Caenorhabditis elegans: one gene and its partner. The protein of the gene in region 2 purifies or fractionates together with the protein of the main gene of each other region. This does not show direct contact. Each region holds a gene or a part of one and is shown on either strand. Other genes may lie near its edges.

Region 1 (16,103 bases), on a different chromosome or scaffold from region 2:
TTTCTAAAACATATTACAAAATCGATTGAAGTTCTAAATTTATTTAACATTTCTTTGTAAAAATTTCAAATGGCTGATTAGACACGCACTTTTTGTTGTTCTCCAGTTTTTCGACGTAACATTTCAAAAAGCTTATTTTCAGGAAAACTCGAAAAAAGTAGCCATCCGAAAAACTCCTCCAAAAGTGAAAAGAAATTAAAACGTTAAGCAGTTCTCGAAATATTCGATCATTACCTTTCATTTCTAGTTTTATGTTTTGTGATAGTTTATTAAAAAACTTTCGAACTTTAGCAAGAACTTCAAAAAGTATCAAAAATATGAAAATCCCAAATTTTTCGAAGACGAAGACGAAGACGTGGAAAACCCAAAAACTATAAAGAATGAGCAATGCTGCTGGGAAGCGTAAATGTAATAATTTTGATGTGAAACAGAATTTTTATTTTGAAATTGTATTCTCAATTGAACTTAAAAAAAACACCGTTTCAGAAATTCCTGATAAAAATGAGAAAAATAATGATAATGATCATGTCGTTAAATGTATCGATTTTTCGAGTAGCCGGATTAACAAAAATTTGAGCATTCATAATATCCGAGACATTAGAAAAAAAAACAAAAGTTCTTGATACCCAATCTTATGAAATTTCATGACAATACGAACAATTTGATTAAATAATTTTAGTTTTGCAGACACATGCACTTCATGAATTCAGGCAATTGTTTTGAAATAACCTTTTTCAAACTCGAAGATGTCGAAGTGTAACAATCTAGAAGTGGAGAAGTATATTTAACATTTATTTGAAACAGAAATAAAAATTTAATAGAAATTACAAAATTGTTGACTTGCAAAATCCAAGTATTCTAGTTAAAATTGGAGTTTCCAATTAAAAAATTTAACTGTTTGGCCTCTATCATATTATTAAATGAGTTTCGGATAAATTTATTGATTTGATTACAACAATTTAAGTATACCTTAACAAATTTAAAGGAAACAAATCAAGATAAATACAACATGAATATTAAACAAAAAAAGAAGAAGTACGTTTAACACCAATTTGAAACAATTTTTGTTAAGTTGGAATAATTTTTTAGAAAACAACTGTTTAGTTCAAGATTGAACTTCCAAAAGAACAATATTGAGAATTTTGCTGAAAAAAAGAATTGTGACGTCATGCATGTTTTTTCACAAAAATTAGACAAAATTGATTATACTAAATAATTAAATACCATAGTAATTATAAGATTGATTTGAAACAGAATTAAAAATTTTCAGAATAGGATTTCTTTATGAAATTTTTAATTTTTAAATCGACATGTTTTCAAGACTTTTTTTTTACATTTAGTAAATTCTAAAAATAATAATTTTGGAACTGTAAATAGTTAAATAAATCATATTGTAAACTTGATGACTTTAAAAATACTGGAATTAGAAAGAAAGGAGACTACTGAAAAATTGCACACACAAGAATAATTAGAGTCAACGAAACAGTGCAAGTAAAATTAATTATTTTCCCAGTATTTTAAAAAAATATTCTTCTTGGAAACTCAATAAGTTTTTTTTTCAGAAAAAATCGATTTATCCCATTTTTTGTTGTATATTCTTCAATTTTAAGTATGCTGCTTTTTGCATCTTTTCCATGTTCAAAACTTTTCCTAGAACACATTTTCGGTAATTCAATTTTTCATTTGAAATTTTTATTTTTTCTTAATAAATTTTTTAATGCTGTTTAAATCCGAAAATCTAAATTTCCAACAAAAAAAACTATTGCAAACCCTGCAATTTGAATTAATGGACCCTTTTTTCAACCAAATATTTCGTCGGTTTCAGCTTTTCTATATCAAACGGTAACATTTACGAAAAAATAATTTTTCACAGATTAAACCAAACTATTATTTCTTTAAAATTTCTCACAACCACCTCACAATGTGATTTTTTTTTCAAAAAGTCTGTTTTGGCAGAAAAAAAATGAAAATTTTTAGAAAACCTTCTATTTGAACCATTTCCGATGTTTTCAGCCTACAATTTTTGAACTCCCAATTTTCGATATTCTGTTCACGTTTATCACAGCACGTGGTTTTTTTTTAATTTTAATTTTTTTTCCGTTTCATCCAATATATGAAATTTTTTTATTATAACCTCACACAATGCTGGACACAACACGCATTTTTTTGTATGTTCGAAAAATAAATGCTCGGTTTTAAGTGCTTCATATAAAACCGTGACTTTTGAAGAAAATCGATGATTGCTCTCTAATAAGTTTTTTAAAGTTTTAAATCCCGGTTTTTGTGGTTTTCTTCACTATCAGTCTGTAACATTTTTTTTTCTCTATTTCCCATAAAATATCAAGCATGTTTTTTCAAACAATTCAGACAATTTTCATGTGCACTTGTCCGTGAATGTGGAAAAAAGTTTACAAAAGGAAATGTGCCGTGCTGATGTATAGCCCAATTGGAACATTTCTCAATTTTCGGCAAAAAAAGTGCCCGGTTTCAACTACTTTGTATAAGACTGCACAACTTTTACCAATATTCCGGTAATATTTCATTTCCAAAATGAAAAAAAAAAATTGCACATAATGTAGACAATTTGGGAATTAAAAAAGATTTCCGGTTTCATCTGCTTCTTTTAAAATTTTGACTTTTGTAGAGAACGTTCAGTCTGCATTTACAAGCTGTTAACTTTAAAAAACGGGTTTGACACGTATGCCTGTTAAAAAAATTATATTGCATAGTATACAAAGCACGTTTTGCAATAATGTTAGGCGTTGTTTTATAGAAAATTGAAAATTGTCTTTTTAAAATTGTCTATGGGCATTCGTTTACTAGGAAAACTGTAACAACTGAACAAAAATTTAAAAATTTTGGCATTTTGGTTTTCAACAAAAAATTATATATTTCTACTGATTCCTATGAATTCCTATGAAGTATTGTTTTTTTCAAATAATTTAGACAATTTCTTTGAAAACTGAAATTAATTTTCAAAAGGGATGTTTTCAAAAAAAAATCGGTTTCAACTAATTCTTATGAATATTTAAAAGACACTCGACCATTTCTGGACGTTTTCAGCAATTTTGATCAGCTATTCATTTAGATTTAGATTTTTTTTTCAATGCACATACATTTTCTTCCAGATATTTGTGCACTTGTAGCTGAAAACTAAGAAAAACTTTTATAGCACAGTTTAAAAAAATGTTTAATTCAGAAAAAATTGACGATTTTGACCAGTTTCTAGAAAAGCATAAAACTCCACTAGAAACCATTAAAAAACACAAAATTTTGACTTTTTTTAAAGCACATTTCTTCTGTTCTCAAATAAAAAAGAACTATCCAAATTCCTAAAATTCAAAAAAAAAACTTATCGTATTCATTTTTCAGTCACGATTTAGCAATTTTTTAATGTTTAAACTACATTTTTTTTTCGAATACATAACTCATTTTCAGACAATTTGTGTGCATGAAAATTAAGAAAATAAATTTCAAAACAAAAATTGTTTTACTAAAACCGGAATTTCCATTAAAAACAATCAGCATATCACACTTAGTCTCGTTTTTTTTTCCCTCATTTTCGAAAAAAAAATTTCGGTTTCAGTTAGGCTAGACAATCGCTATAAAATAAACATTTATTCTTAAAATTGAACTTTTTATTCTAGAAAAACAAAAAAAAGGCATAAAGAAACTGTCACAACCGGACAAAAATTTGACTGTTTTGGCACATTTTCTTTGTAAACCATATTTTCTTCATTTTTCTGAAATTTCAGAAAAAAAAGGATCATTCTTGAATGATTAACAATCCTGATTAACTACTAATTTTGGATTTTTAAAATAATATTTTAATGCACATAATTTCAACTATGATATGTACACATTTTTTCGAATAATTTAGACAATTTGTGTGCATTGTGCAAACTAGGAAAACTTTTAGAGGTACCTTTGTTGTGCTAAAAACAAAATTTTCACAAAAAGCTACCTGAAGAATACTAATTTTTGCCCAGTAGTTTTTTTTCTGCATTTTCCAAAAAAAATTGTTCGGTTTCATCAACTTTTTTTAAAACCAAGATTGATCCTGTTCGGTTTGATTTTCAACATTTTAATTTGACTTCTTTCCATCTGAAATAAAAAGCAGGTTTGAAAATTTTTGCAAATTTTGTAAACATTTCTAGGAAAAAAAAGCATTTAAATCCATTAAAAATCTGTCACAACTGGACAAGAAATTTTATGTTGGCATATTTTCTCTGTAAATCAATTTTGTTCATTTTCAGAAAAGGAAATTCAGAAAAACTGATCATTCTTGAATGTTTCAACAATCCTGATTGACTACTAACTTTGGATTGTTAAAATAATATTTTAATGCACTTAATTTCAACAATGATATGTTCAAATAAAATGCATGTTTGACAATTTTCGCAAATTCTGTAAACGATTTGCGTGAAAAAAAAAGCAAAAAAAATCCATTATAAAACTGTCACAACTGGACGAAAAATACTATTTTGCCATATTTTCTTTGTAAATCATATATTATTTATTTTTTATTAATTTCAGAAACAACTGATATGATTCATATTTGAATGTTTTAATAATCGTGATTAATGTCCAATTTTAGAATTAAACAAATATATTTTCAGTGTATTTTATTGTGCAAAAACCTAAATTTCCATGATAAATCACCAGAATACTCCCTCTCCTAAGAAAAAAATTGTTCTGTTTCATCTAGTTATTTTAAATCCGAAACTTTCTTTAAAAACACTAATTCGACGATTGTTGTTCTCAAATAAAGAAAATTATACAAATTCGTAAAATAATTACTATTAGCAGTTTTGTTCATTTTGCCTTAATTTCAGAGAAAAACTTAACTGGATCTTTGAACGTTTTAACAATTGTGATCAACTACCAGTTTTAGAATTTTTTTTACATTTTCAGTGCATTTCATTTCTAACAAGGAAAGGAAGTCAATCTAGTATCGAACTTTAAATTGAGACGTATGTCATTTGAAAGCTTATGTTTAGACTAGATCACCACAAAAATTTCAGCGGCGGAACTCAACTCTGAACCCCTGAAATCGCCATCTGAAAATTTTTCTCTGCGCCCTCCTAGTTTTCAATACTATTTCGTACTTATTCATTTTACTTATACAAAAAATGATTTTCAATCTTTATAAAATGATTACAAACATTGAAAACAATAAAAAACAACGGTTGATGGCCGAATGGTAAACGCTTGGAATAATGAAATAAAGGTCTCGTGTTCGATTCTTTCAGTGGGAATAATTTTTTTTTCTTCAATTTTTAAAAACTGCAATCGGGCCCTTTGTAAAAAATTGTAAAATTTTGTAACAATGCTCAATTCGAAGAAATATGTAGCTTTTTGCATGCCCGGATACAAAAAAATAGTTTTGGAATTTTTTCAAAAAAAAATTTTTTGACCAAAAATTTTGTGTCGAAAATTTATGAATTTTGATCGAAAAAATTTCAGATTTTTTTCAAAAAAATAAAAAATTCCAAAAAGCTCCCACATTGTTTGTTAGACCCTAAAAACCCCCAAAAACAATTTCTAATCTCTCAGAACCCCTTTTAAGGCCATTTACTTGACATAGAAGCCAGCGAAAAAATGCACTGGAGCACTTTCAGATGGCGATTTCAGGGGTTCAGAGTTGAGTTCCGCCGCTGAAATTTTTGTGGTGATCTAGTCTAAACATAAGCTTTCAAATGACATACGTCTCAATTTAAAGTCCGATACTAGATTGACTTCCTTTCCTTGTAAGATGTTTCCCGTTTTTTAGAAGAATTCATATAATTTGTGAGCCAGTGAAAATAAGAAATAGCTTTTATTGACACATTTGTCGTGATAAAACCTAAATTTCTATGGATACTCGTTTTATATTAGCTTTGTCTATTTCTGCATTTTCCAAAAAAAAAATTGTTCGGATTCATCTATTCATTTTAAAACCAAAATATTCTTTAAAAACACTGGGTGAAGCTTTTGAATTAAAAAAAATAAAGTAAAGAAATAAGTCGCTATTTCACCAATATTAACATTTGTATTTATTTTGACATTTATAAGTTTAAAAAATTAATTTTTAAAGTGGCGGGGGTATTATACACAATTACCGAAGAAAAAAAAAAAGCAGGCTCTGTTTCAACTATTTTATATAAGATTTTCACAAAACGTCATTTCAATCTTTTCACCACATTTAATTGTCCAGAAATAAACCAAATCCCTTAGCATTTTCCCACTAAAAATTACAATTTCCATACCTTCAAAGTACGTCAAATGGGATTCAGTGAATCATTTAGAAATTGAAATTTCTCAAATTTATTAAAATTCTCTACAAAATGACATATTTTATGACACAGAAATGATACACTTTTGGAAAAAACTGTACTGACTCTTTTTTATAAAATCTTCAGTTTTGTATTTTGGGCCAAACTTCAAAATTTTAAACATTTTTGATTTGTATGATGCTTCTCAACAATATTATGAATAAAAAAAAACAAAAAATAATTTCTATAGAAGCCAAAAAAAAGCAAAAAAACTGCTGTCGAACATATATTGGCAGAAAGTTCATATAATTTCTATGAAAATGGAAAATAATTTTCAAACATGAATGTTTCAAACTTATTTCAAATTTGAAGAAATATTCCAGTTTTCTCGTTTTTTCGAAAATAAAATACAGGCTGTTTCAACTACTTTATATAAAGTTTTCAATGCACAAAACGTCACTATAGCAATTTTTCCTGTTCCAGAAATAAACCCAATCCCTTAGCATTTTCCCACTAAAAATTCCAATTTCCATACCTTCAAAGTACGTCACATGGAATTCAGTGAACCATTTAGAAATTGAAATTTTTCAAATTCATTGAAAACTCAGGAAATCTCAACCGCCGACCGGAAACCCAATAAGTCACCAATTTCCCATTCGACACCCTTTCCACAACCTTCAACAATTTCCGACTTATTCTGCTATCGAAATTCTCCGAAAAATTCGAAAATTTTCCGTCTAGTACATACCTTGTCACTAGCGGCGCAAGCGTCGCGGAGCATAATGGGTGTCGTGCAAAATGAGCAAGATATTCGGGAGAAAATGAAAAATGAACTGATTTCGTTGGTCAATGAGATTGACTTAATTCCCGAGTTGGATCGGTTGTTGGATGATTTTATTGAGGTTAGTTAATTGATAAAAATTTGAGCAGTAGTTTTAACAGTCATTAAAAAGTTAAAAAAAAACACCAAAAATAAAATTAAAATTATTGTTTCAAATACATATGATAAAAATTTCAAAACATTTAGAAGTACTGGTTTTGTTTCCCACGTTTTTAATGCTAGTCCCACAATTTTCAAGTTTTTTTCTTCAAAAATTCAGAACAAGACATGGAACGAGGACACTCAAGAGCTCTTTACCCGAGTCGTACTCAAACCATTCACAACTTTGAGAACTTCTCTTCTCGTTGTTGATTTTCAAAATGATTTTGTGACTGGAAGTTTGAGTATTAAGGTGAGTTTAAGTTATTTGTTGTCCGACATCAACCGGGTTTTTCAATTTGTGAACAACCCGCTAGATGTCGGTCACTTCCACAATGATCGTTTTCAAGACATTCAATGAGTTATTTTCAACTTTCTCCTGCTTTAGATTTATTTGCAATTTGAAAAAAAAATTACTGTTTCATCTAAAACATTCAAATTTTTGAAAAGCAGTAATTGTATTCGTTGTGCAGTATGTATCACTTATCAGAAATTTCTACCGTTTCAGAAACTTTTTAGATTAACAAAAAATTTTGAGTGTTTATTAATAAGCCACTTTGTGCAATGGTTATTTTCTTTGAGTTTTAAATTAATTGTTAGCTATTATTAGCCAAAGCATGGAATTTTCAGAATTTTGAAAAATATTTTCTAGTTAAAACAATAAATTTCAATTCTGTATCACTTATGTATCACTTATTATTTATTTACTGTATCACTGACTACATGAATCTTATTAGAAATTTTTCATAATATTAGTAAACTCAATCAATGCGATTTTTGGCACATACTTTATCAAGTTGGAATTTATGGATAATAATATGCTGAAATGAAATAGAAACAGAATAAACATTTTAATTGCAGTTCTCAAATTTTCACAAATTCATATTTCATTTTTTCTAAACTTTAAAACTTTCATTTCCATATTCCAGGAAGGAGACGCGGAGCAAGATCCACTGGAAGCTCTTCCTCATGTCAATAATCTTTTGGAAAATCTCAATTGGAATATGATAGTCTATACTCAAGACTGGCATCCATCAAATCATATTTCATTTTTTGAACATGCTCGGAATCCGGATAGGGAGTTGGCTCCAGAGGATAAAAGTCGGAAGTTGAGACCATTTGATATTGTTCGATTTGTGAAGCCTGTTTCGACTATTCAGGTAATAAGAAAGAGGAAAATATTTTTGCCGTTTCAGTTAAAATTCATATAAGAGGTGAAACTGTAAAAATTGTTAACTTAGACAAACTTCAGGAGATGAAGAAATACATTTTTTTTATTACTTAAAACTTCTGAACTTTGGAAAATCAACGCTTATTGTAGCTGAGCAAGAAACTAAAATTCTTTCCTCGAAAATTTTAGTTATATTGCTTGGCAGCAACCGGCATTATTTGTGTTCCCACCATCCCCACAAAAACAATTAAAATCCGTGAGATGTCCGGTGCAATTGCCTGTTTCTAGAACAGTGTAGAAGATTTTCGAAAGTTTCATAAGTTTCAAAGAGAGAATAATGGGTGAATATAAGAAGGAATTTTTGAAATGCAGCATTGAAAAGTACAGAGCTATTATTTTCATTTTTATATATTCTCCTTTTCAGGTTTTGTACCCAAGTCATTGCATTCAAGGTGGATGGGGATCTCAATTGCATTTGGGACTTCAGGTTAGTTATCCTTAAATATAGAAAAATAACTCGCAAGAATAGTTTAGTTAGACATAAATTGAAATATGGACTTTTCGAAACATTGCCGAAATATTGCTCAACTTTTTTCCAAAACAAAATACGGGAAAACTGAAACAGGATTTTTTTTAAAATTCTCTTTAAAATGTTTAAATGTTCATCTGAATTTTTTGGTTTGAACCTTATTTCATAAAATATTTTCGGATTATACAAAATTTATATTTTCATCAAATCAAATCTGCGCTTCATTTTTTTCCAGTAACTTGATTTTTACTAGAATACTTTTCAGTTTGGAAATATCCTAAAATGCTTGGCTTTTATTTCTTAAAAAATTGAATGCAATATTAAATTCAAAAAAATCCAATCAAACATATGGTGTGCCGTTAATCCTAAACATGAAACAGCAATAATTTCTTGAAAATTCACAAAATCAATTCAATTCAATTCTTGCATATGAAAGAAAACCAACATCAATGAATTAATTAACCAGGTTTCTTTTTGTTTTAAAATTTGTGATGAATATGAAACATGATAAAACTCAACTGATTAAACTTTTTTTAAAATTTTTTAGTGGATTGACATAAAATGGTTTCTTTTTTCCAAAATTCCGAATAAGTTCAAGTTTTAGTTTAACTCAATGTTTATGTTTCCAAAAACCGTATCCATGAAGAAAAAGTACACTTATTTGTTTTGATTTTTTTGTGTTAATTCTCATTAAAACTGTAAATTAGTTATTCAAAAAAAATACTTTTACGGATTAGTTTTAAATTGAACTACAACAAAAATGAAATGGAATGACCAATTCATATTTGTAAAAAATCAGTCATTAATGTAGGAAATTGAAAATAATTTTTAAGTTTTAATAAATTTTCTAAATATAAAAATAAAATTTTCTGTTTCTACCACTCCGCTTAAAAATCATGTGTAAATTCATTTATTCAACAGTAAAAATTCAGAGAATTGATGGAGCCCATTACATCAAAAAAGGAGCCGATGTCTACGTAGATGCATACAGTGCTTTCAGCGATAATTGTGGAATAAAACAGTCAGTTTTTTTGGCGGCTATTAACTGTATCAAGAATTAGTTTTAAAAATTGAGCATTTCAAAATTTATTCTGGCTACAATTTGAAGCTTAATGTTTGTAAATCCTACAAAAAATGGTAAAACACGCTCAACCCCGTCTCACATTTTTCTTATAATTTGGACAATTTTTTTTTAATTAATAACCTCTTTTCTTTGTGAAAAAATTAAAACTAACAACCGAGGTAAACAATGACAAAGTTTCGGGTTTTTTCACAAACTCAGGCAGGGTTCCGCTGCTGCAGCTACAATGTGAGTCGAATTTTTTATTTTTAAAAATAGTAAAACGAGGTTAAGTATTTATTTTTGATCAAAAAACTTGAAAAACTTGAAAAATATCTAACAAGGGAAGCCAAGTTGGTATAAAGATTTTAAAGATAAAAACACGTTATTGTATCAATAATATACACAGAATCGGAAACTTTTATGAACAAGTTGAAACTGTTGAATAAACTAAACAAAAAATTCAGAAACCGAATACATTTTCAATATTTCTTTGAAAGTTCAAAATTTTTATAAATGTTAGTTCCTTCGGAAATTTTTTTATAATATCGAACAAAATATTGTTATGTCCCGTTCCCAATTCCAGATCTGAATTGGAAATGCTTCTCCGTAAAAACGACATAAATGCAGTAATTGGGTGCGGATTGGCTTATGATATTTGTGTAATGCACACTTTAAAAGACGCATCGAAACATGGATTTTTGACGTGTATCGTTAAAAGTGGAAGGTAGTTTTCGGATTTATTTTGGAACAGTGTTCCGAATGACTTTCATAGCGAACAAAATTTTTTATGAAATTTTTGAAACAGTGAAAAAAAATTTTCTAAGACTGAAAAAAAGTTTTTGATTTAATAATGAAAATATTGTTTTCCAGCAAAGGTCTTTCCTCTCTGAAAATGGATGAAGCTAACAAGATGTTCCAGAAAAGGGGCGTCGCTATCATTGATGACGAGATGGCTCAGTTGATATCGAGACGAGAAGCTTTTCCAATTGAATGGGTGAGTTGGAAAAGCACCCGACACATTTAACGGGATCAGCTTTTTCTATTCAAACTTGGCAAAATTCGCTTAATTATGATATAAACAAAAATACAATTCAAACCTACAAATATACAGACAGCTTGATGAGATATAGACTTACAAAAATAAACAAAATATTAGAGGAGCCTGGTAGATGTCGGGCGATACAATTTTGTTTTAAGAGCGAGAAAAATTACGGGATAAATATGTGAAATTTGTCATCAATATTGGATCAGAAAGGTTATAGATCAGAAAGGCCAGAAAGGAAATATTGAAATTCTCAAAAATTATGAAAATAATAACACTGTTTGTAACAGTAAACTAATTTTTAATCTTTTAGACTCTAGGCTTTTCTGAATCCTGTGTAACAATTACAATTTTCTCTGATTTTTTCCAAATTTTTGAAATATAAATTATTTTTCAGATTCGTCTTCTGGTTCATCAAGCCCAAAGCGAACTTCACGGAAAGAAATGATTTATCTTTTTTCATTTTTTTGCCCTTAAACTTCTCGACTTTTGAAACATTGTAATACCATAATGAACTGTTATTATTTAATTTAATTTTTTTAACTGTTTCGATATGTTTAGTTAATTTGATGTGCAATGATTTTTTAATTTCATGTGCAATGATTTTGATAATTTTGTTAGATTCGTTCAACATTATGCCGATCAAATAATTTTGAAAATATTTTTGTAGTATCGCTCAATTAATGGTTTGATAGAATATTTAATGGAAAGTTAACATGTTAATTTATAGGGAAAAAATTTGTAACGTTTGAGTTAGGCCGAATTTTCTCAAAACATTGTATGGTGCATTATTTCGTTTTTTTTTGCTCCAAACTTCAAATTTAAAATCTCTAAATGCATTGAAATTCACTTTAATATTTTTTCTTTTCACTCAGATAATTTATCGCATAACAGAAACAGTAAAAACCCATGTTTTCAATTTGAAATTTTTCTGAAGTGGATTTCAAGCTTATTTATATCCCCCAGAAATTAATCAAGTGGTTTCAAAAATGCGGAATATTTTCGGAGAGTAGATACGCAGTAGTAGTCAGGCAATACAGTTAATTTGAAACAGCAATTTAGTTGTGTTTTCAAATTAAGTCACTTTTAAAACTATATCCAGATTTTTTCGTGGGAAAATTTTTAAAAATCCTATTATAGTCGATCATATTAATAAGAAATTTGATATTTGGAAGAAATAAATGTTTAAAAACAAATTTCAGTTTTACAACGATTTAATTTTCTATGGTGTGTGTACTACAATAACTCACTGTTTCATCAGGCTTTTATGTTGCGAACTTGAAACTGCAAATAACCGTGAAAATATACCGGTTGGCCGAATCATTTTGAACCTATTTTGTAGTATTGAAACATTCAAGAGCATGTAGATTTTAAAAAATGAACGAGGAAGAATCCCTGAAACTGATAGTCCAATATTTTAAAGATATAACCTTTAGAAATAAATAGCATGATTCAAACATAATTCTACTTCAACAGCTTCATACAATTGTAAAGGAAAAGATAACATGTGAATTTATCGAAAAAAAATTGTTTGACCTGACAGCAATTTTCCCAAAAAACATTGCATGGTGCATTATTTAGAGTTGGTTCTTTCCTAAACGTCAAATTTACCCTCGAATGGAGAGCCATCATTGCTATATTTCACTCAGATAATTTATCGCAAAATCGAAGCAGTCAAAATAAAATGTTTCCCGATTTGAAATTTTTCTGCAGCTTATTTATATACCCCAGAAATTAATCAAGAGGTTTCAAACAGGGGTGTGCGGCAAATCTCAACATTTGCCGTGCTCGGCAAGCGGCAAATTTGGCTGATTGCAAATGGTTGCAATGTACCAAGTTACAGATATAGATTGCACTATAGATTACTAGAATGTTCAAATGTCTTGCCGCTAAGAGGTATAAAGATGTTTATTTTCAGTGCAAACTATATCTGTAACTTGGCACATAGCAACATGCAGTCTTTCCAATTTGCACTGCCGCCCAGCGGCAAGGCACGGACACACAGAAAGAGGGAGGAACACAGTACAAAGCGGAAAGACTGTACGTCTCCAGTGTACCAAGTAACAAATATAGATAAGCATCTTTATACCGCTCAACTGTAACCAGTTATAAAACATTTGTACTTTCAAAGCAATCAATTGAACAGGCACGTAAATATACAACCCTAATATATCTGTCACTTGGCACATAGCAACCAACAGTCTTTTTAATTTTCTCTGCCTCTCATCGGCAAGGTATTGAGACTAGAATAACACAAAAAAAGGGGAGGAACACAGAGCAAAGAGGAAAGACTATACGTCACCTATGTATGTATCAAGTAACAGATTTAAATCGCACTATACGTAGATAAACATCTTCATACAGCTCAATGGCAAGGCATCGGGACTAACATGACATCTTGTACTAGAGCGTGCGGCAAATTCAACAAATTTGACAAAATTTTTGCATTGAACTTGCCTGAATTTTTCCTAAAGATTGTATGGTGTTCAAATTATTTCTATATTTCACACAAATCTTTTATCGAATAATTGAAACAGTAATTTTTTTTCTAATTTGAAATGTTTCTCAAGTGGTTCTCAAGCTGTTTATATCATCCAAAAATTGATCACGAGGTTAAAAAAATGTTAGGTGTCTAGCAAAACAACAGTTAGTAGCCTCTCAAAGACATCCGGCAAATACAATGAATTTGAAACAGCAAATTATTTTTAAATCAATTTTTTAACCTGAAAAAAGTATTGAAAAGTTCCAACCTACTACATAGTTTTTGAAATTCGATACTTACAAAAAATCTTTTTAACTTTGAAAATATACAATCTTTTTCAGAACCTTAAAACTTTAACGCGGGTTATCCACTAATTTAATCGTCTTGAAAAATTGAGTTCTGAACTATTTTTTTTAGTTCTAAAATTAATACTGTTTCACAATGTTATTATCAACCATACATGCTTTAATATTCCAATGTTTAACCAATGTTTACCATTAAACCCACATTTTGCTAAAAGATTTTTGTAAAATATGAAAAGTATTTGAAATACAGAAAATGAGGTGTTTTTTTTTGTTTTTTTGGTCTCATAATACCAAAAAAAGTCCCAGCACTGTCTGCGAGAGTTCCGCCAGAGACCTAATTGAGTAACTCTCTTGATTTGTGTAATCTTAAATTTACAAATCTTCAAACAAGCGAAAAGTTTTGCCAAATGAGTTTCTTGGATTTCTCGAAGATAAAAAAAATATTGTGAAAATTTGCGATCCAATGTTTTGATGATGTAACCTTTTATTTCCGATTTTTTTCGATGTTCCATATAAACACAATAAAAAAGTGATAATAAAAATTATGTTCAGTTTGAGACGTTAAAAATCTTAAACATTACATTTTCAACTCGTTTCTCCGCCGAAATCGAATTGAAGTGCAAAAAAGTGCAAATGAACAACATCATAATCGGTTAGAACGTCGCAGAGATCTATTAGGCTAACTCTTGAAACATAAAATTTTTTGAGTAACTCAAATCAGTATTATACACAAACAACGCCTTTTTGTTTTTAAAACTAAAAAGTTGACCTAAAAATGTTGTTTTCTCGCTTAAATTTCTGTAGAAACAAACGTAATTTTTAGTTAGAAATTAAAATTTTACTGATTCGTGGCAAAATTTAATACACTAGTTTTCTGACCGGAAATTAGATTGTTCACGGCAACGTAGCATTTGCCATGTTGTGCACAAATAAGGGAACTTTTAATTGAAAGGATACTGGGACTGTAGTATTACGGTAACGAAAAATTCAGAAAATGCGTATTGCTCAACATATTTGACGACGTTGCCCTAACACTTTGAAATGTCACAATTTTTTATAGAATTTAATGTTTTAACTGTTTCAATATGTCTAGTTAGTCTTCTATTTCCATATAAATTATTTTCTTCTTTGATTCGTTTTTCAAAGTGTTCATTTAATAGTGAAAATTATGTAAAAACAAGCACCTGGAACAGAATATAAAATAAATTCGGATAATCAAGCAATACATTGGATATGAAAGTAGACTTGCCCGATTTAAAATTTCAATTAGGTTGATACCGAATTTAATTTTTGGAAAAAAATATGCATGAGGCTTAATACATTTTTCAAAAATTTGGAATTTGGTTTAACCATGTCTCAATTCAGTTACGAACACAATAGTTTCAAACGTATATTATAGTATTCATAAAATGTAGGTGAAACATACACCAGTAGATAAAATAAAACAAACAAAAAACAATCAAGTTATTTCTGTTGTGCTAAAAACTATGCTAGTTTTTCAAAGAATGATTTGATTCAAATATTTCTGAATTTTAATGGAAAAAAAGTTTGAGCGGATTGGCGCTTTCAAAATTCACTTTCCATCTTCTTCACCACTTTCATATTTTTCACAGATCATTTATGGTGTCTTTAAAACAATGAAACAATTATTCTTCAGATTGGATTTTTTTTAAAGTTTGAAGCTTTTTTCTTTTTTCTTTCTTAGAAACATTGAAACATAGGATCAAAATGTTTTAGAAAAATGGAATCAGAAAAAGAGACGTAATAGCAGCCCCTGAAATAGTGATTTTTTTTAATACAAAATTTTACAAACCAGAAAAACCATTGAAAAAATCCAAAAATTGTCGCAATAAGAACAGTTCATTTCCCATTCTTGGCATTTATAAAATACTTTTTCATTTATTTGGAACATTTACAAACTTACACAAAAACTTATTGAAGAAACTATTGTTCGCAACTTATTTGGCTTTGAAATATTAATATATTTAAAATAAAGTCTGTTTCAAACCTATTTTATTTATCTGAACAGCAGTCTTTAAAATATTCATCAAAATATTCAAATATTTCATAGTATTCGCAGAAGCATTTATTTGAAACATAATTCAATTAAAAATGTTGAAAATTCAAAATCTGAAACAAAAATGGATTAACGGAGGCAGTAAATTGAACATATTGAAAGTAAGTTTGGAATGAGTATTCATCTGGAAAATCGGGGGATTTCTTATTGTTGAGCTAGCCAAAAGAATTAGCGAAAATAATATTTAAATCAATATTTTTT
Region 2 (16,386 bases):
TCGACCTTGTCACTTTTTTACTTCCAGTCTTTGTTTTCTTTTCCTGAAGATTTATATCGGGTTTTGTGGGCTTTCAGTACATCAGGAACATCCTCGCAGCATTATGTACGTACGAAGCACCCGCCCATATCTCGTATTAACTCACCATTTTATCGATCTTCTTTTTTGTTTTCTTTTAGAACCTCTTTTTGAAAGCCATCCCATCACTTGAAAAATGAATGTAGTTTTTTGAATAAATCAAGAAGAAAAGGAAATAAATAGTTTTAAACGAACTCAACAACAAAATAGTGGCAGCAAATAAAAAATCAAAAGAAATGAGAGCACGTCATTTTAAAAAATAGTTTTGTTTAATTTAAATTATAAAATTTTAAAACCAAAACTCTACATTCGTCTTCATAAGGCCATGGGACATTGTGCGCACATCGCGAGTGTGTATAAAGAGTACTGTAGGGTTAATGTGTAAATATACTCTCCTTAATTTTGGAATACATTTTTTGAGATTCAGAAAAATAATTTTTGCTTGAAAAAGAAACAAAAAATGCAAGAAAAGGATCGAAATAAATTTCAAAAAAGTTGAACTTATTTTGCCCCCACCATATTCACCATTTAGTTGTCTCGAGTTTTTTCATTTGTCCTGAATATTTTGATGAAACGCTCAACTCCCCGTGGGACTCTTTTCCGAATTCTTGCAGACTTTTGTTCAACGAAAACGAAATTTTTTATTTTCGAGTCAAAGAAGAGATAGACTAATACGTGACTATAAAAAGACAAATAGTAGTTGTTATATTTAATGCGAAACATAAAAAAAAAGAAAATGGAACTAGCGATTCTGAAATGTAAAAGCCCGCAGAGCAAACATTGAAAGAAGCATCAAAAATCAAAATAAAAAGATTGTTGAATTTATTTATTTGGTACAGATGTTCCTGGTATTTCACTTGCTCTTCGTGGTGAGACCACTGTTGCTGATTTCGAGATTGTTGAGGAAGAGTTTGGCATTACGTGTGTTGACGTTGACATTGTTGCACATTCAGTTAAAACTGAGTCGGGTGCTGAAATAAAGTACTATATAATTGTCTATATAATTAATTAATATCTAACAAGTCTGCAAAAAAACTATTTTAAACTATTTTGTGGTATTGAAAAAGCAAAAGTTTGAGTTTCGAAACTTAATTTTTTGCCAATTTTTTGCCCAGTGAAGATACTTTTAGGTAAAACTGACGTTTTTCTGGAGATCAACCGACGTGGACTTGTAATGTTTCAAAAATTTTTTAAACATAATTTTAGAGAAAAAGTATGTGTTTGGCTTTTTTTTAATCTCTTATTTAATTTTTGGTGTTTTTTTTTTAAATATTTACTCAACACCTCGCTAATAAAATGATCAAAGAGTTCCTTAATTTCGTAACTTACATTCATGATGTACACATGTTTCTTGTGGTACTATTTCAACATGTTCTGTTGATCGTCGAAGATCTCTATCTGAACATAAAAGGTTTCGATTTAAATTGAGATCAACTAAAGAATTACCAATTTGCATACGGCTGAGCAGACTTGTGGTCATGATTGATTCAGATTTGAGTCTGAAATGAAAGGTAGTTTCTAAAATAAGACAAAAATAAAACTGTATAATAAGGGAAAAAGATGAATATCAACATAAAACAAACTTGTGACATTTGGACCTAGTATTATTTGAAGTCTCCGTCGAGACCCACCGAAAATATGAGCGTGTGCCTTTAAATTGACAGTTTGCAAGTGAAATTGTATCTACAATAAGCCCAAAACATTTAGTAATTTTTAACTTTTCTTAGACGATCTTTGAGAAAATTGAGAAAAATTTTAATGAAACTATTACCGTTGGTTCAAAATTTTAGTTGCAACAAAAATGTTGATTAACAAATCAATGTAAATAATGTTTCCAGCAGAAAAAATACTTGGAAAATAAAAAGTTCACAATCTAAAATATTTCGTAAACACTTTTTTTCAAGTAAATTGCTTTTAAATGGACCATAAAAATTTTTTTGTGGAAAAGCACTGAGCGAATGAATGACTTTTTCTTCTCAAAATCACTTCTCGACAATGGAAAGTTGAACAGAAAAATGGAAAATTGAACTTAAGTCTCAATTCAAAAAGAATGAAAAGTTGAAGAACCCTCAAAGCACCAGGAAGTTCTTCACTCTTTTCACTCCAGAAAAGCGAGAAGAAGCACATCAAAAAAGTGTTCAGCTGAAACAAACGGAGCCCTCAAATATTTCGGTTCAGCTTTACCAGAAAGCTGGCACAAGGGAATTGGAGCTGGGAAAAGGGGGAAAATTTAGGAAGAGCGAAAAAGGAAAGAAGAAAAAAAAATTTTTTATTGAAGATAAATATGTGACGGATGACACAAAATTGCATAATGAACTTTCGAGGAACACTTTTCTAAATTAATATTTTAGAAAAAAAAACTAAATTTTAACCTTTCCGGGAGAAGAAGTAAGTAAAACTGAAAAATCCAAAACACACGAGAAGTCTCATGTGCTTTTTTCTTTTGATTTCTGTTTCTAATTCGATTTCCCATCATTTCTCTTCTGTTTTCAAAAATTTCTAATTGGTTGGCCAGAGGGACCACAGAGTTTTATTGAATTTCAGAAAGAAGAAGATACGAGGTCTAACGGTCAACATCCATGTCTTTGTTTCTTTCAAACAAAACATTTCTAATTCAATTTCAAAATAGGAAAATGAAATTGAATGAGTCACATCAGTCAGAACGATATGAAAGTTTAATTGAAATCAAACATGAAACAAGTTTAAACGTAATTGCAACGTGGGAAATTGTAGAAACTTGCTACTTTCTACTACAGTAGAATCTCCAGAAATGTTCATTTGTTCACAGATAACCCCAAGTTCTCAAAAATTTCCATCCAAAATTTCGGTCATTTCATTCAAATCCTTCATCATATCACAACGTCTGGCCTTATCACTTTGGCATGCAGCGATTCGATTGCTTGCCATCCTGAGCATATGCTTCATATTTGATTCCATCATCAGTGGAACTGAATCTTCATACACCCAACGACGAACACGGCACTCGTCTTTCACGTATCTGAAACAAGAATTTTAAGGAATTTTTACTCTGTAAGAAGGTGGAAGAACGCAGGAACAAATTAAATTCCACTCGAACTCCAAAACAGGAAATGTGAGCAGTTGGACTGACAGTGTTAAAATGCAACTCACTGTGTCATGAAGAACTTGTGAGATGGATAGGCAACACTTTTACGCAGATCCTTCTGATCATCATCGTCTTGATCTTCTTTTGAATACTTCTCGGCAGTGTATTGTCTCTGGACGCGAGGAGAAGAAGCATCACCTGGCGGATCTTGTGGAAGATGTTTAGATTCAGCAGATGGCGGAGGAAGGGTCGCTGGAGCAGTGACCATTTGTTCAGTTGTACCAGTTGTTGCAGAGGTTCTTGGTGTTGTGGAAGACACGGATCTTGGCTGATACAGCGGCTCAGAACGAGGAGCCGGTTCCGGTTTAACACCAGTTGGTGGAATTGGTGTTGGAGGTCTTGGAACAACTGTTTTCACCGTTGCATCAGCATCCACAATTCCTGATTGAATGGGCTTTTGGAGAGAAGCCTGAGCTTGTTGTGGAACTAGCTCTAAATTTAAAAGGAGGTTTTCAACAATGTTACAACTTGGCAACTTACTTGCAGCAGGTTTGCTGGGAGCCTTCATTGGAGCCTTCTTCGGAGCCTTCTTCGGAGCCGATCTTTTTGTACGCTTAGCAGATTTTTTCGATCGTTTAGTCTTTCGCTTCTTTGCACAACAACCAAAGAGTCCCTTCTTACTCTTTCTCTTCTTTGAAGTCTTCGAAGATCTACGTGGCTTTGTCTTTGACTTATCCGATGTTGTTTTAGTAGGCTTTGGAGATACCAGTTTTTTCTGAAAAAATAAAACTTTTATTAAAAGCTTATCCAAAATGTAACCTTACCTTGTCTGGTGTGATAGCAGTGGTCATGACGGTGGTTGCTGAAGAGAGATTGAATCGAGTAGTCGAGTTGTACCCAAGTAAATATTGAGAAGTGATTGGAAAAGTTTATTTTCTGATCAAATCAATTTTATATTTATTAAAAAATCCACGGCAGGGACAGAAAGTTCAATTCCACGTTAAAAACGAATTTTTAAAAACTTTAAAAATAAATAAAAAACAATTTTTTCAACTTTGCAACAAAAAAGGATGTATTTTTGAATTCTCTGAATAACACGAATAATAGATTGTTACACGAAAAATAGATTGTTACACGAAAAATAGAAAAAAACAAAAACCCCTGTAGCGCGGCTGGGATGGAATATCTAGGTTCCAGAAATGTACCCCTGATATTAAAAAAAAATTAGCAATTGAGTTTCGGGAAGAGAAGTACTCTTTCAGAATTTGCCGGTTTGCCGATTTGTCGGAAATTTTCATTTTCGGCAAATTGACAATTTGCCGTTTCCCGGATATCAGCTTTGCCGGAAATGTTTAGAGGAATTTTTTTAAAGACGGGAACACTTGAGCAGTGCCTTTTTGAACGTTTTCCCGTTTTCTTTAGATATTTACATAAAAATTTGCTTACTTTTCAAAATAGATGTAGGAACATTCATATGATGCGTACAGTTTTGCCGATTGAAATTGAAATTCTGAAATTTCCAAAAAAAATGTGCAAAACCACAATTTGCCGAAAATTTTCGGCGATTACCGTTTTTCCGGCAAATTCAGCAAATCGGCAATTTGCCTGTTTGCCAATAGAGTTCGACCATTTCTAAATAAAATCAAACACATTTTTTCGAGAAGTTTTTTTGTTGCGCTTTGCTTGGTATCCTGGTTATAAAAAGTTATCTGGAAAAACAGGAATCGTTTTCTTTTTTGAGTAAGCTATAAGACTGCTACGTCTGAATAAAAAAAAACGTTTTTCTAAATTATAAAAAACGATTTTACACGCAAGAAAAATTTAAAGGGCTCAATTATTTTTGAAAACAATTTCACAATCAGATTCGGTATATTGAGACTATTTTCTGTTATTTAGGAGACGTTTGCCATGTATTTATATTCATTGAACTTTCGACATTATTCCCATCTGATATATTTCATTTCAATCAAAACAATTCAAGAAGACAACTTTTTAAATTTAGCATCAAGAAATGACTTAAAATAAGCTTTGACTTGAACATTAACTTCAGTTTTTCTCTTGGAATTCAAATTTTCCAATGTAGCAATCAATGATTCTTCCTTCAAATTCTTCCTTTCCCCTTGGAATTCACTCGTTACAATCCATTCATTCCCTTCATGATTTTCACTTGTAACACTGTTTTCGAATCCCATTGTAATACTTTTTTCAGTCAGTCTGAAATATAAAGTTATCTCGTTCTTATTTCACAGTCAACGTTTGCTCCAAATTGAAAACAAATTTTGGTATTTTTTGAAAAAAGTTAAAATTTTTCATGATTGAGGTTTTACAGATTACTTCCATATGCCTTTACAGCTTACCTGTATGCTTCTGTTTTGTCAGATTTATTTATGAAGAATGCAATTCCAGTTGTTTTTGCTCCCAAATATTTTGCAATCGTATATGTTCCATTTACAGGTAAAACTCTTGTGATAGTTGTTGTTCCATTTTCAAATATCTCGTATGAACATATCATTGCAAGTTCCGTAGAATCATATTTGAAATTAACATTTTCCCTCTCCTTATTCAAGAAATCAATCAAATTTGGTAGTGCCGGAGAAGGAGGATTTGTTGTTGGAGGATATGATGTTGTAACAGGAATATATGTAGGACTAGTTGTTTGCGGTCTTTCAAATGTTCGGCTTCCGATTTGGTAATGAACACGGAAGTTCTGATTGATGTTACTATCCTTGACAATGACAGTAATGTCAAAATATCCTTTCGAATCCGGACAAACATTTTCAAGCACTGAAATAATATATAAAGTTCATAAAGTTTAACGTTGACCCAACTACTTTTTTTTGTAAGATCTTGAAGAGAAACAATTTTTTTAATAGAAACATTCGAAAGAAATATTAATCTTAATTATAGATATGCATGAATTGGTGATTTGCTCATAACATCTCAATTAATTTACTTGTCGCAATTCGCGCATCGTACACCCACAATAATGAGGTTTCGAGGCTCCAGATGGACACATTGCAAAGTAATCAAAGTTTTCGTCAAAGTTTTGAACTATTTAAAAACCGAATAAAGAGTTACTCTTAATTTCAAAAGAAATAACATAAAAAAAATAAATCGTCCATATTTCAAACAAACAGAATACAAAATAAAATGTATTTTTGAAACCCAACTTACCTTGATAGCTAAACTTATTCGCGAACTCCCTGTTCACATCCAGATCAGAACATTTCGATGAACTGATCAAAATAGTTACAATCGCATTTTTGGGAACATCGAAGATCAAAGATCCACTTTGTTTTTCTTCGAGAATGATTGTTTCTGAAACATTGTCTACTTGAAATGATTTTTTTGTTAATATATTATAATTTTTTAAATAAGACTTACCTCCGTTAATGTAATATTTGTGTACCCCTACTTCTGCTACTGCAGTGCATGCATTTTCTTGTTTCTCCCAAACACCGTTAAATACCGAATTAACTTCCGATGTGTATCCAATTGAAACATGTTTGTTTGTAATTTTAACATGATAAACTGTATCAAAACGTTCTATGCTCAAATGTTCCACTGGTAACTCGTTTCGAATTCCATCAAACCGAATCGAAAACACCATAGGGTTAAAATACTGAGCATGTTCGTAGATCAATCCAGTTTCAAGGCTTCTTACTGTAATGCTGGAATAAAAAAATTGTGAAGGCGGATTTATTATGACAGATATTTTTGTGCACCTTTCTGGTTTCTCGGCGACTATAGAAGGACCGCAGGGTTAGTATCTTAAATATCAATTTTTCAAAAATGAAAATCCTAATTTTCTGGATGGTTGCGGAAACATCTATGTGAGAACCTTGCCCTATTACCCTATTTCTTCTATTGCATCTGACTACTTTACTTTGTAAGGTTTTATCTAAATTTATTTTGAAGTTATAAATAAATATTAACTACAAAACGATTGAACAAGAACTAAAAAACATTTTGTCAATTGGCACTTCTTAAATTGAACGAACTATAACAGAGAAACAAGCTGTCAAAGTTGAAATTTCAGACGCAATACTAATGGAGGAAATGGATCGACTTTTCAAGTACACACTTACGCTGGATCACAATTTTTGGTGGTCTTATTAACAGAGATCACAACCAAATCACTGTAGTCTGTCGATGGTCTTTGAATGTCGAAATTATTATTCTCATCTGGTTTAAAACCAATCGATTTCTTCCGAAAAGGATCATTCAGGAAAATCATGTAGATTCCACCCACGGACTCATCGACATTCCAATATTCCGAAGAATTAAAATAGTTAATGAAAATGTAATCGTAGTATACAGGATTCCCAATACGACGGATATAACTTCCTGACTTGTATCCGTTAATTTGTACACTGGCAGTTTCAATTACTTTCGAGTTGTTATTCGAAATAATGATATCGACGGATGTATTCGTATATGGAAATTGTTCTGAAAATATGTTGTATTGTCAACAAAAAGTTTAAAAAATAAGCGTTTCGTTGTATAGTGATTGTGAGATTTTTACTCGTATAAACTTAAAATAGCTTGAAAGAACGCAGATAATATTCCAAAAGTTTTCCTATGTTTCTCAAAGTTTCTAAAAAAAATTTTTATTTCCAGAAGTTTCTCAAAATTATTAAAAGTTTTCAAAATTTACCAATAAAAAACATTGTAAGGCGATTTCTAAATATGCACGGCTACAATCTCCCTCTACTAATCGCAACTCAAAAAAAAAAAACTGGTTTTTTTCAACGAAAAAAAGAAAACTAGAAAAGCAGAAATAAATAATAGATGAAACTACAGGAATCTTATCGTAATTGAAAACCCGGGCAATATCCCTCCAAATATATTTAATGATATTTCTCACCTCCAAAGTTAAGAATTGGGTACTTGTCAACAAGAGTCTCCCGAAGAGTCGTTTTGAAATATGTTTTCTTTACTTCAGTTATCATATTCTCCCCGACATCAAATCTTAGTAGACCGTGATCATGTTCTTCATAGTATATCATATCTGCAATAAATTTCAATTGTTTCAGTAATTGATTGAGGTTTCAGAAAATATTTAACATTGCTTTTTCATATGCGTTATAGATTTTTTGAAGCACCTCGGGCCGATTGACGGAAATGAGGAACAAAAGAATCCTTACATTATGATCTTTCTGGTGAGGGAGAAGGTTAATATCAAATTTGAAAATCAAAAAAGATGATTGTCAAGCTCTACCGCTCTTATTATACAGTCGAAGTGTTTAATTTGAAAATTCACCCTTCAAAAACAATAACTTACCAGTTACATCATAATAATCAAACCTATGAGGAATCAATTTCCAAATACTTTCGATTGCGGAATTTGTTGATTTCTTCTTCATCTGGACAATATTGTTACTATTCTGCACTCCGTCTGTTGTAATTTTGACATTATAAAAATCCATTGTATCGTAACAATAAGCAAGTCTTAGATTTTCTTCGCTCAATTCATTTCGAATTCCATCGAATGGAATTGTAATGATTGTGTTGGAATCATGTTTGAAGATGCGATAGAAAATTCCAGTTTCTTGACTTTGCATTGCAAATCTAAAAATAAAAAATAATGTACAGTTAATAGTACATATATTAAAACGGATTTTCCCAAATTTGGAGACTTCTTTAAAAAAACGACTTACTGGAAAAAGTGTTTGTTCTCCGTTTTAAATACAAATACAAGTTCGCTGTAGTTGGTAGAAGGTCTATTAATATTTATAACCTCTTCGTTTCCATCAAAACTGAGTGCTTTGTTCTCTGTGGGATCATACAGGAACGTTTTGAAAATGCTGATTTGTTCATTTGGATTCAAATTCTCGTTTGAAAATTCTGACGATTTCCAGAAATCGATAAATCCAGGAACAATAGTAATTGGTACACCGTAAAATTCTCTTGTTTTTTTATTGCTGATTTGTTTCTGGACCACATTGAATTCAGCTTTTCCCGGTTTCAGCGTCTCAAACTCTACTAATATATAGGCGTATTCATTCGCATTGATAATCTTTGTGTAGTTTAGAATTCTAATCTCATCATTTTTACTTGTCACGTAATTCTCAAAATCTCCATTTGTATTCAGTAGAAATGCAATTGTACAACGGCTTCCTGATGATACATGCGATCGATTTCTCATTGCATTTTGAACAAATACTTGACTGTAGTGAATTGTATCCATTACAGCAGGTCTTTGACATTTTGGATCTCTTTTATTCGGAGCGAGTAAGATTTTGGAGGTCTACAAACGTTTTTGGACTGTAAAAAGTGTGAAAGAAAACGAACTTGTTGCCCTTCCGCCCGAAGATCGTAAAGTAAAATGAGATCTTTCGATTGTCCACTCCGATCATCCACAATTTTCAAATGAATCGACTGAAGATCAAATTGTAGGGATGGATGCCACTCCTTTGAGACTGGAAATTAGGGAAATGTGTACAAATTTCAAGATGGTAAGGGGTTAGTGGGGAAATTGTTAAAAGCCGCTTTACAAAACCTATGTGTTAATGTATTTAAAAAAAAACTCTCATCCGTTTCCCTGCAAAATCTTTAAAAATATAGTTACTAACCAATGTATTCGATCACAACATTGTGGAAGTAATCATCTCGAATTGGTTTTAAAACGAAAACGTTCAGAAACGTGCGGTCAACCTTTTCCAATTTTATTGAAAACTGTTTGGGAAGAATTAAGCTCAATTTTCCAGACTCCTGCTCCCCGAATACAATTACTTCTGTAAAATAAGGAACATTAGAAAAATCAAAGCGAACCCTTAAACTTACCATTAATATCCCAAACTGAAACATTTCCATGCGGCGAAGTGATTTTCAGAATTTTATCGGTGAGTAACCCATTATTGCAATTGTCAAATGTTCCTTAAACTTTGAAATACATTCCACTTTCCAAAAATACGTTTACCTTCAGCCAACAAAATGACTGAAGTAGCAAAAACAAATAGATTCCAGAGAACCATATTTTCAGCTTGGAAAACTGATACTTGGCAGTTTTGAAGATGAATCCCATTTTTTATAACGATTCCTAATTCGATTTGACTCTTCAACCCCCGCTTTTCAATTTTCGCACATCAGGCATCAATCTTATTCTCAAAACTTATGGGAAACTTTATACAAAAAAGAAAAAACAGGTTGCAGCAATAATTATTCGTAGTCAGAAATTCTTTTATATCTCTTTTTTTCTAGTTGGAAATAAATTTTGAAAATTGTGATTTAAGTTAAAAAGTGCATCATTATAAGGTTTTGTTTAATTTCTCTACGAATTCACCGATGTTTAATTTTTCCAACTTTCGGAAAAGTTGTATGAATATTTTATATTCTAGTTCTCACCATATCTTAAATGTGTATAAAATTTCAGACACGCTGGATGAGCAGGAAAAAAGTAATACACAAAAGTATATTAATTAATTTTTCTACATGTTTCTCTGAAATTTGAAACAAAAATTTGTCACATTTTCTTACTTTCTTCTGGCAAAAAATATTGATAATTGCTAATTAATCTATCCTGAAAACGGGAAAATGTCAAAAAATGTCATTCATTTGCGCGGGAATTCAAAAACATCATTTTTTGTTGCAAAGTTGAAAAAATTGTTTTTTATTTATTTTTAAAGTTTTTAAAAATTTGTTTTTAACGTGGCATTGAACTTTCGGTCCCTGCCGTGGATGATTGTTTAATAAATATAAAATTGATTTGATCAGAAAATAAACTTTTCCAATCACTTCTCAATATTTACTTGGGTACAACTCGACTACTCGATTCAATCTCTCTTCAGCAACCACCGTCATGACCACTGCTATCACACCAGACAAGGTAAGGTTACATTTTGGATAAGCTTTTAATAAAAGTTTTATTTTTTCAGAAAAAACTGGTATCTCCAAAGCCTACTAAAACAACATCGGATAAGTCAAAGACAAAGCCACGTAGATCTTCGAAGACTTCAAAGAAGAGAAAGAGTAAGAAGGGACTCTTTGGTTGTTGTGCAAAGAAGCGAAAGACTAAACGATCGAAAAAATCTGCTAAGCGTACAAAAAGATCGGCTCCGAAGAAGGCTCCGAAGAAGGCTCCAATGAAGGCTCCCAGCAAACCTGCTGCAAGTAAGTTGCCACGTTGTAACATTGTTGAAAACCTCCTTTTGAAATTTAAAGCCAGTTCCACAACAAGCTCAGGCTTCTCTCCAAAAGCCCATTCAATCAGGAATTGTGGATGCTGATGCAAAGGCGAAAACAGTTGTTCCAAGACCTCCAACACCAATTCCACCAACTGGTGTTAAACCGGAACCGGCTCCTCGTTCTGAGCCGCTGTATCAGCCAAGATCCGTGTCTTCCACAACACCAAGAACCTCTGCAACAACTGGTACAACTGAACAAATGGTCACTGCTCCAGCGACCCTTCCTCCGCCATCTGCTGAATCTAAACATCTTCCACAAGATCCGCCAGGTGATGCTTCTTCTCCTCGCGTCCAGAGACAATACACTGCCGAGAAGTATTCAAAAGAAGATCAAGACGATGATGATCAGAAGGATCTGCGTAAAAGTGTTGCCTATCCATCTCACAAGTTCTTCATGACACAGTGAGTTGCATTTTAACACTGTCAGTCCAACTGCTCACATTTCCTGTTTTGGAGTTCGAGTGGAATTTAATTTGTTCCTGCGTTCTTCCACCTTCTTACAGAGTAAAAATTCCTTAAAATTCTTGTTTCAGATACGTGAAAGACGAGTGCCGTGTTCGTCGTTGGGTGTATGAAGATTCAGTTCCACTGATGATGGAATCAAATATGAAGCATATGCTCAGGATGGCAAGCAATCGAATCGCTGCATGCCAAAGTGATAAGGCCACACGTTGTGATATGATGAAGGATTTGAATGAAATGACCGAAATTTTGGATGGAAATTTTTGAGAACTTGGGGGTTATCTGTGAACAAATGAAGTGGCTTGTGAACTTTGGTTTTTATATGAATTTTTGTCTTGTATCTTGTTATTTAAAATTATTCAGACGACGAATTCATTATTCCGCTACTGTTTCCAGTTATTGCCCCCAATCAATGCATTTCTTTAAGACGAATTTATTTATCAAGCCTCTGCTAACGACACAAAAACATGAATAAGTGCAAAAAAATCTCGGCAACTTTTGACCACAAAGAAGCCCCAAATATTCAATGGTAGTTGATAAAGAAAACAAAAAATGAGCAAGCAATTGATAGGTGTAAATGTAAGTGAACCGGGACTGACAAGAGACCAAATACTAAAAATAAGAAAGAAGAAGTTGATGAAAAATGAGAAAATACAGAAAATGTAGTGGATGTGAAGAACTGCTTTGTCGAAATTTACCAGTGCTCGAGCTGTTGCAATGGCTATCACGAAGAGGGCCTGGAAGACGTTCTTAAAATAATTTTTAAAAGGAAAGCATGACGGTTGTTGCCCGAAGAAAAATTTATGAAAAGTTGGTAATTAGAATGGTTATTCATATTTTAAAAAAATCAAAGCCCAACTCACCACATCGTAAACAGCAATTGTATAATAAAACAATGGATGAGCGAACCAGCCGTTGAAACTTTTTGGGAATGGCTCCCAAAGAGCGAATTTCTTCCGGAACATTGCTTCAAATATACAAAGAGCAGTTGCCACAACATAACATAGTTCAAATACAACTACAGTAGTACATCCTCCTCTTACAAGGCATGATGATAGACAGCATAGTGGTTCGAGTTCAAGATGACGGGATTGTACTCTGGAAGCAGTAATTGGTTGATACTTAAAATCCTTAAATTTTGATTGGACTCCATGTAGGCTTTATATACATCCGAAATGTTTTAATTTATTTCCTCAATTGATAAAAATGAGATAAAGAGAGATGGCGCTACTACAAAACTACAAAAATCATTAAGGAGCCAAAATTGATTACCAAACTATTGTTACCAAAACTTTCGCAAAAATATTCATTTTCAGCCAAAAAAGTTGTAAGTATAAACCCGAAAAAAAAACAAATTTTGCGATTACTCGCGAACTTCATTTTCAAAAAAAAACTCACTTCGTATGTATCGGGGCCACTTTATTTGCTTTCATTCTGTTTCTGAAGAGCACAACTTTTTGGTAATGATGATTGACTGTACCACTAGCTTTTTCAAAGTATTGACCGACTTTCCAGTACATAACCCGGAAAGGACCAGGGGCTTGATCTGAAAATATATGTATTGGTTATTTATTTGCTTGTGGAAGCTGCTGAAATCTGGCACATGTGTAGTGTTTGAATCTAGTTTTTCAATAAAATTGTAACCTAAAAAATGTTCTAGAGAGACAACTTTCAAAAACCATAGTAAAGAAGTCATTGTGAAACTGAGTGAATGGCGGTCGGTTTCGTAGACATACTTCCTGTCTCCCATTCATACCTGCTGAGCTTTTTTTGCTTGAATTCTCTCCGCGTGGCTCTTTCACTTTCGGAATTTTCATGGCTCGTTTCCCATTCGGAGCGCTTGCCGGGCACACTTGGTTCAGCTGAAAAGAAAGTGAGTAGGTAGGAGAAAAATATATTTGTATATAAGTCAATAGGATTATTTGATGGTAACTAATGAAATAGTTGATTGTATGTACATAGATGAAGGAATTACGCTCTACATATTGCACAATTTCGCTGGGTTACTGTAATTTTTGCTCTTGTTACAGGATAGCATTAAGGAATTGTCAAAACTTTTTTTTTTCGTTTTCGCCTATAAACATCACAATTATTCCCTACGTTACATTCCGTCATTTTTCAAATCATAGGGAATTTGATAAAATATTTATTAGACAGATGATTTGAATTCAATTTTTGAACTTACTGACTGAACGACAGTCTCTTCTTTTTGTTGTAAATATCAATTATTTATTGAAAAATTATCAAAATAAGTCTATCATATCGAAAGAAAATCAAACAATGTTTACAGTACTTGCTATGGTAATTGAAATTTTTTGTTCGTGGCGAGACCCATAACCATCGTTTTGGGGCAAACATTTAACCTTCTTAAGACAAACAAATACTCATCAACTTCCCTTAACCTTTTCTAGTTCTCACCTTCTTTGCCTGCCCCGGGGTAACTGCCTGCCCAGTTGTGTTATTTTTTGCTACCGAGGTCTTCTCCGGTGGTACCCAGTACTCAACCATGTTTTGATCAGGTTTGTGACGTGGTCGTCGAAAATCTTGATCAGCAAAATATCTCCGGTTTTCCTGAAAGAAGAAGGTCGAATCTGTGCATTGTTATGTCAGTAGAACGTCTTTCTCCTGAGAGAGTGATAAGAAAGTGTATACGGTGATGGATATTTGTAAGTATTGATTAAAATATTTAACAGTCATGCGAATGTGCAAGAAGTGCGCGAACAAGAAAGAAATAATCTCAATTATTTTTGGATAAATCAAAAATTATTCAAAAACAAACATTGATCATCAAATTGGTATGGCAAAAGCTGCAAAACGTTTCGTGTTTATTCGATTTTCTAAAATCTATATTTTTGAAGCACATCGTGCAAAAAATTATTTTTATTTAAATCTTCATAAAGTACCAGATTTTCCGATATTGGAAACTTTGAAAGTTTTTCGATGAACTTTGTTATTGGTTATAATACAACACTATCATTCCATTAAATATTTGTACCATGCAAATTCCATTCAAGAAACCTCATCCTTATCCTGACTTGGAGTAACTCCAGTGAACAACTGGACCGTTGCCAAGTTACGTAACAGCTTCAGATTGTTTTGTCGAATAGCCTACAGTAATTTTTGCAAATGCCGCTTTATAAACAAAATCTTATTCCAAAAAATATATTCACAAAACACTTACTTTTTCAAATTCGTTCATCATTTTGCTGTTGTTAAAGAATTAGAGAAAGAAGCTAATAGAATAAAAGTTTTAAAGTTAGATTCAGAATTCTTTTTGAGATTCAGTTACGTGAATATGTGGCGATTCCTTTCAAGCGAATTCTAATTTTTTCCAGGCACACAAAGTGGGCGTTTTGTGCTCCGTGGAGCCAGCGCCGCCGTTAAAAAAACTTTTTTTGGCGGGAAGAAAAAACGGAAGAAGAAATCGGGGGAAGTGAAAGGCGGTGAAAAGGTAATTGTGGAGAGAAATGGAAAAATAGAAAGGGTTACGGATGATGGAAAAAAGGTTTTCAGGTTTAGAATATGAGGTTTTTTGAATGGAAGATTTGAATTGAAAACTGGTGTTTAATGTTTAGAAAAAGGTTATTTAAAGTTTCAACAAAAAGAAACAACATATACGACAAAACTCAGTTTTTTTGAGAAAAAAACTCTTCACATAGTTCAGCCAAAAGTTTAAATACAACTAGCAGAATATTTGAAATTCCTTTTTCTTCATTTTTCGAAGTTCTATATTTTGGTGGAATTTAATCATGAAAAAGGTTAACTAACAAAATTTTTCTGATGTATTTTTTACGCCTTTATACCGAAATTATACTTCAATCAACAAATAAACTAGAAATAAGCTAACAAAATATTCAATGAAGGGTAATAATTAGTTTAAAACCAAGTTCCAAAACTAAGTTGGCAAAATTTAAGATCTTACTTTAATTGAAAATAGGTATTTTTTCTGAAATTTTGAGCAGCCATAACTGTTTTCGCCTTAAAAATGCCTAGTTACGAAATACGGTAATAGTCTTGGGCCAATTTGAGTAGAATAAAGAGATGATCCAAATATCGCTATTCTTCTTTTAGCTATATAAACTGAAGCTGTTCAGGATGTAAACTCCTGGAATAACTTGAGGTCGAATAGAAAAATAACGACTCCAAAACAAGAAACTCTAAGAATAAAGATGCTTAGAACTAGGACACAAAAGCATTCTGAAAAGTCCAATGCTTTCAGACGAACTTGAATTATGACAATAATATTTTGAATAGAAGTTGCTAAGTGAAAAACACGTAACACAACGAAAACAAAAATCTTAGAAAAGATTTAGTAAATAAACTTTGGCCGAGCACTCAGTTAAATTTGTACTCAGGGAAATATGTAGACATCTCTCAATAGTTTGCAAATTTCAAAAGACGAAAACATAAAAGTTCGCATAAGTTTCTGAATTTATGAATCTACAGTGCATCAAAATTTTATAACACGCATCTCAATTTAAGAATTTGGAAATATTTTGAAAATACAAGCAATGAATGTCGCGAATTGAAGTTTTCCTGGATAATCCAGGGCTCCAATGAAACTTATCAACCGAAAATACAAAAATCCAAGTGGAA

What was found.
Region 1: the proteins of C45G9.10 (region 2) and pnc-2 fractionate together in Caenorhabditis elegans (co-fractionation; one large-scale study listed by BioGRID). This does not show direct contact.

The regions. Positions count from the first base shown.
Region 1 is NC_003282.8:14,900,447-14,916,549, reverse strand, and holds pnc-2 (nicotinamidase), read left to right. Parts: upstream 1-6,860; 5' UTR 6,861-7,036; coding exon 7,037-7,156; intron 7,157-7,287; exon of another isoform or gene 7,288-7,308; intron 7,309-7,354; coding exon 7,355-7,486; intron 7,487-7,695; exon of another isoform or gene 7,696-7,716; intron 7,717-7,778; exon of another isoform or gene 7,779-7,802; intron 7,803-7,986; exon of another isoform or gene 7,987-8,025; intron 8,026-8,162; coding exon 8,163-8,393; intron 8,394-8,466; exon of another isoform or gene 8,467-8,487; intron 8,488-8,494; exon of another isoform or gene 8,495-8,680; intron 8,681-8,828; coding exon 8,829-8,891; intron 8,892-8,908; exon of another isoform or gene 8,909-8,930; intron 8,931-8,960; exon of another isoform or gene 8,961-8,984; intron 8,985-9,247; exon of another isoform or gene 9,248-9,268; intron 9,269-9,370; exon of another isoform or gene 9,371-9,394; intron 9,395-9,847; exon of another isoform or gene 9,848-9,865; coding exon 9,866-9,954; intron 9,955-10,023; exon of another isoform or gene 10,024-10,044; intron 10,045-10,365; exon of another isoform or gene 10,366-10,389; intron 10,390-10,516; exon of another isoform or gene 10,517-10,537; intron 10,538-10,579; coding exon 10,580-10,720; and 12 more.
Region 2 is NC_003281.10:5,051,763-5,068,148, forward strand, and holds C45G9.10 (uncharacterized protein), read right to left. Parts: upstream 10,137-16,386; 5' UTR 10,120-10,136; coding exon 10,065-10,119; intron 10,022-10,064; coding exon 9,929-10,021; intron 9,880-9,928; coding exon 9,718-9,879; intron 9,565-9,717; coding exon 9,437-9,564; intron 9,393-9,436; coding exon 8,803-9,392; intron 8,714-8,802; coding exon 8,427-8,713; intron 8,154-8,426; coding exon 8,010-8,153; intron 7,592-8,009; coding exon 7,231-7,591; intron 6,814-7,230; coding exon 6,527-6,813; intron 6,461-6,526; coding exon 6,317-6,460; intron 5,927-6,316; coding exon 5,500-5,926; intron 5,357-5,499; coding exon 5,119-5,356; 3' UTR 5,082-5,118; downstream 1-5,081. Other genes in the region: C45G9.15 (DUF851 domain-containing protein), read right to left, coding at 1-43, 146-148; C45G9.8 (uncharacterized protein), read right to left, coding at 901-1,049, 1,408-1,476, 1,525-1,558; C45G9.9 (uncharacterized protein), read right to left, coding at 2,881-3,076, 3,208-3,634, 3,683-3,917, 3,967-3,993; C45G9.4 (uncharacterized protein), read left to right, coding at 10,944-10,970, 11,020-11,254, 11,310-11,730, 11,862-12,057; C45G9.11 (uncharacterized protein), read right to left, coding at 12,231-12,527, 12,654-12,888, 13,189-13,336, 13,547-13,652, 14,209-14,361.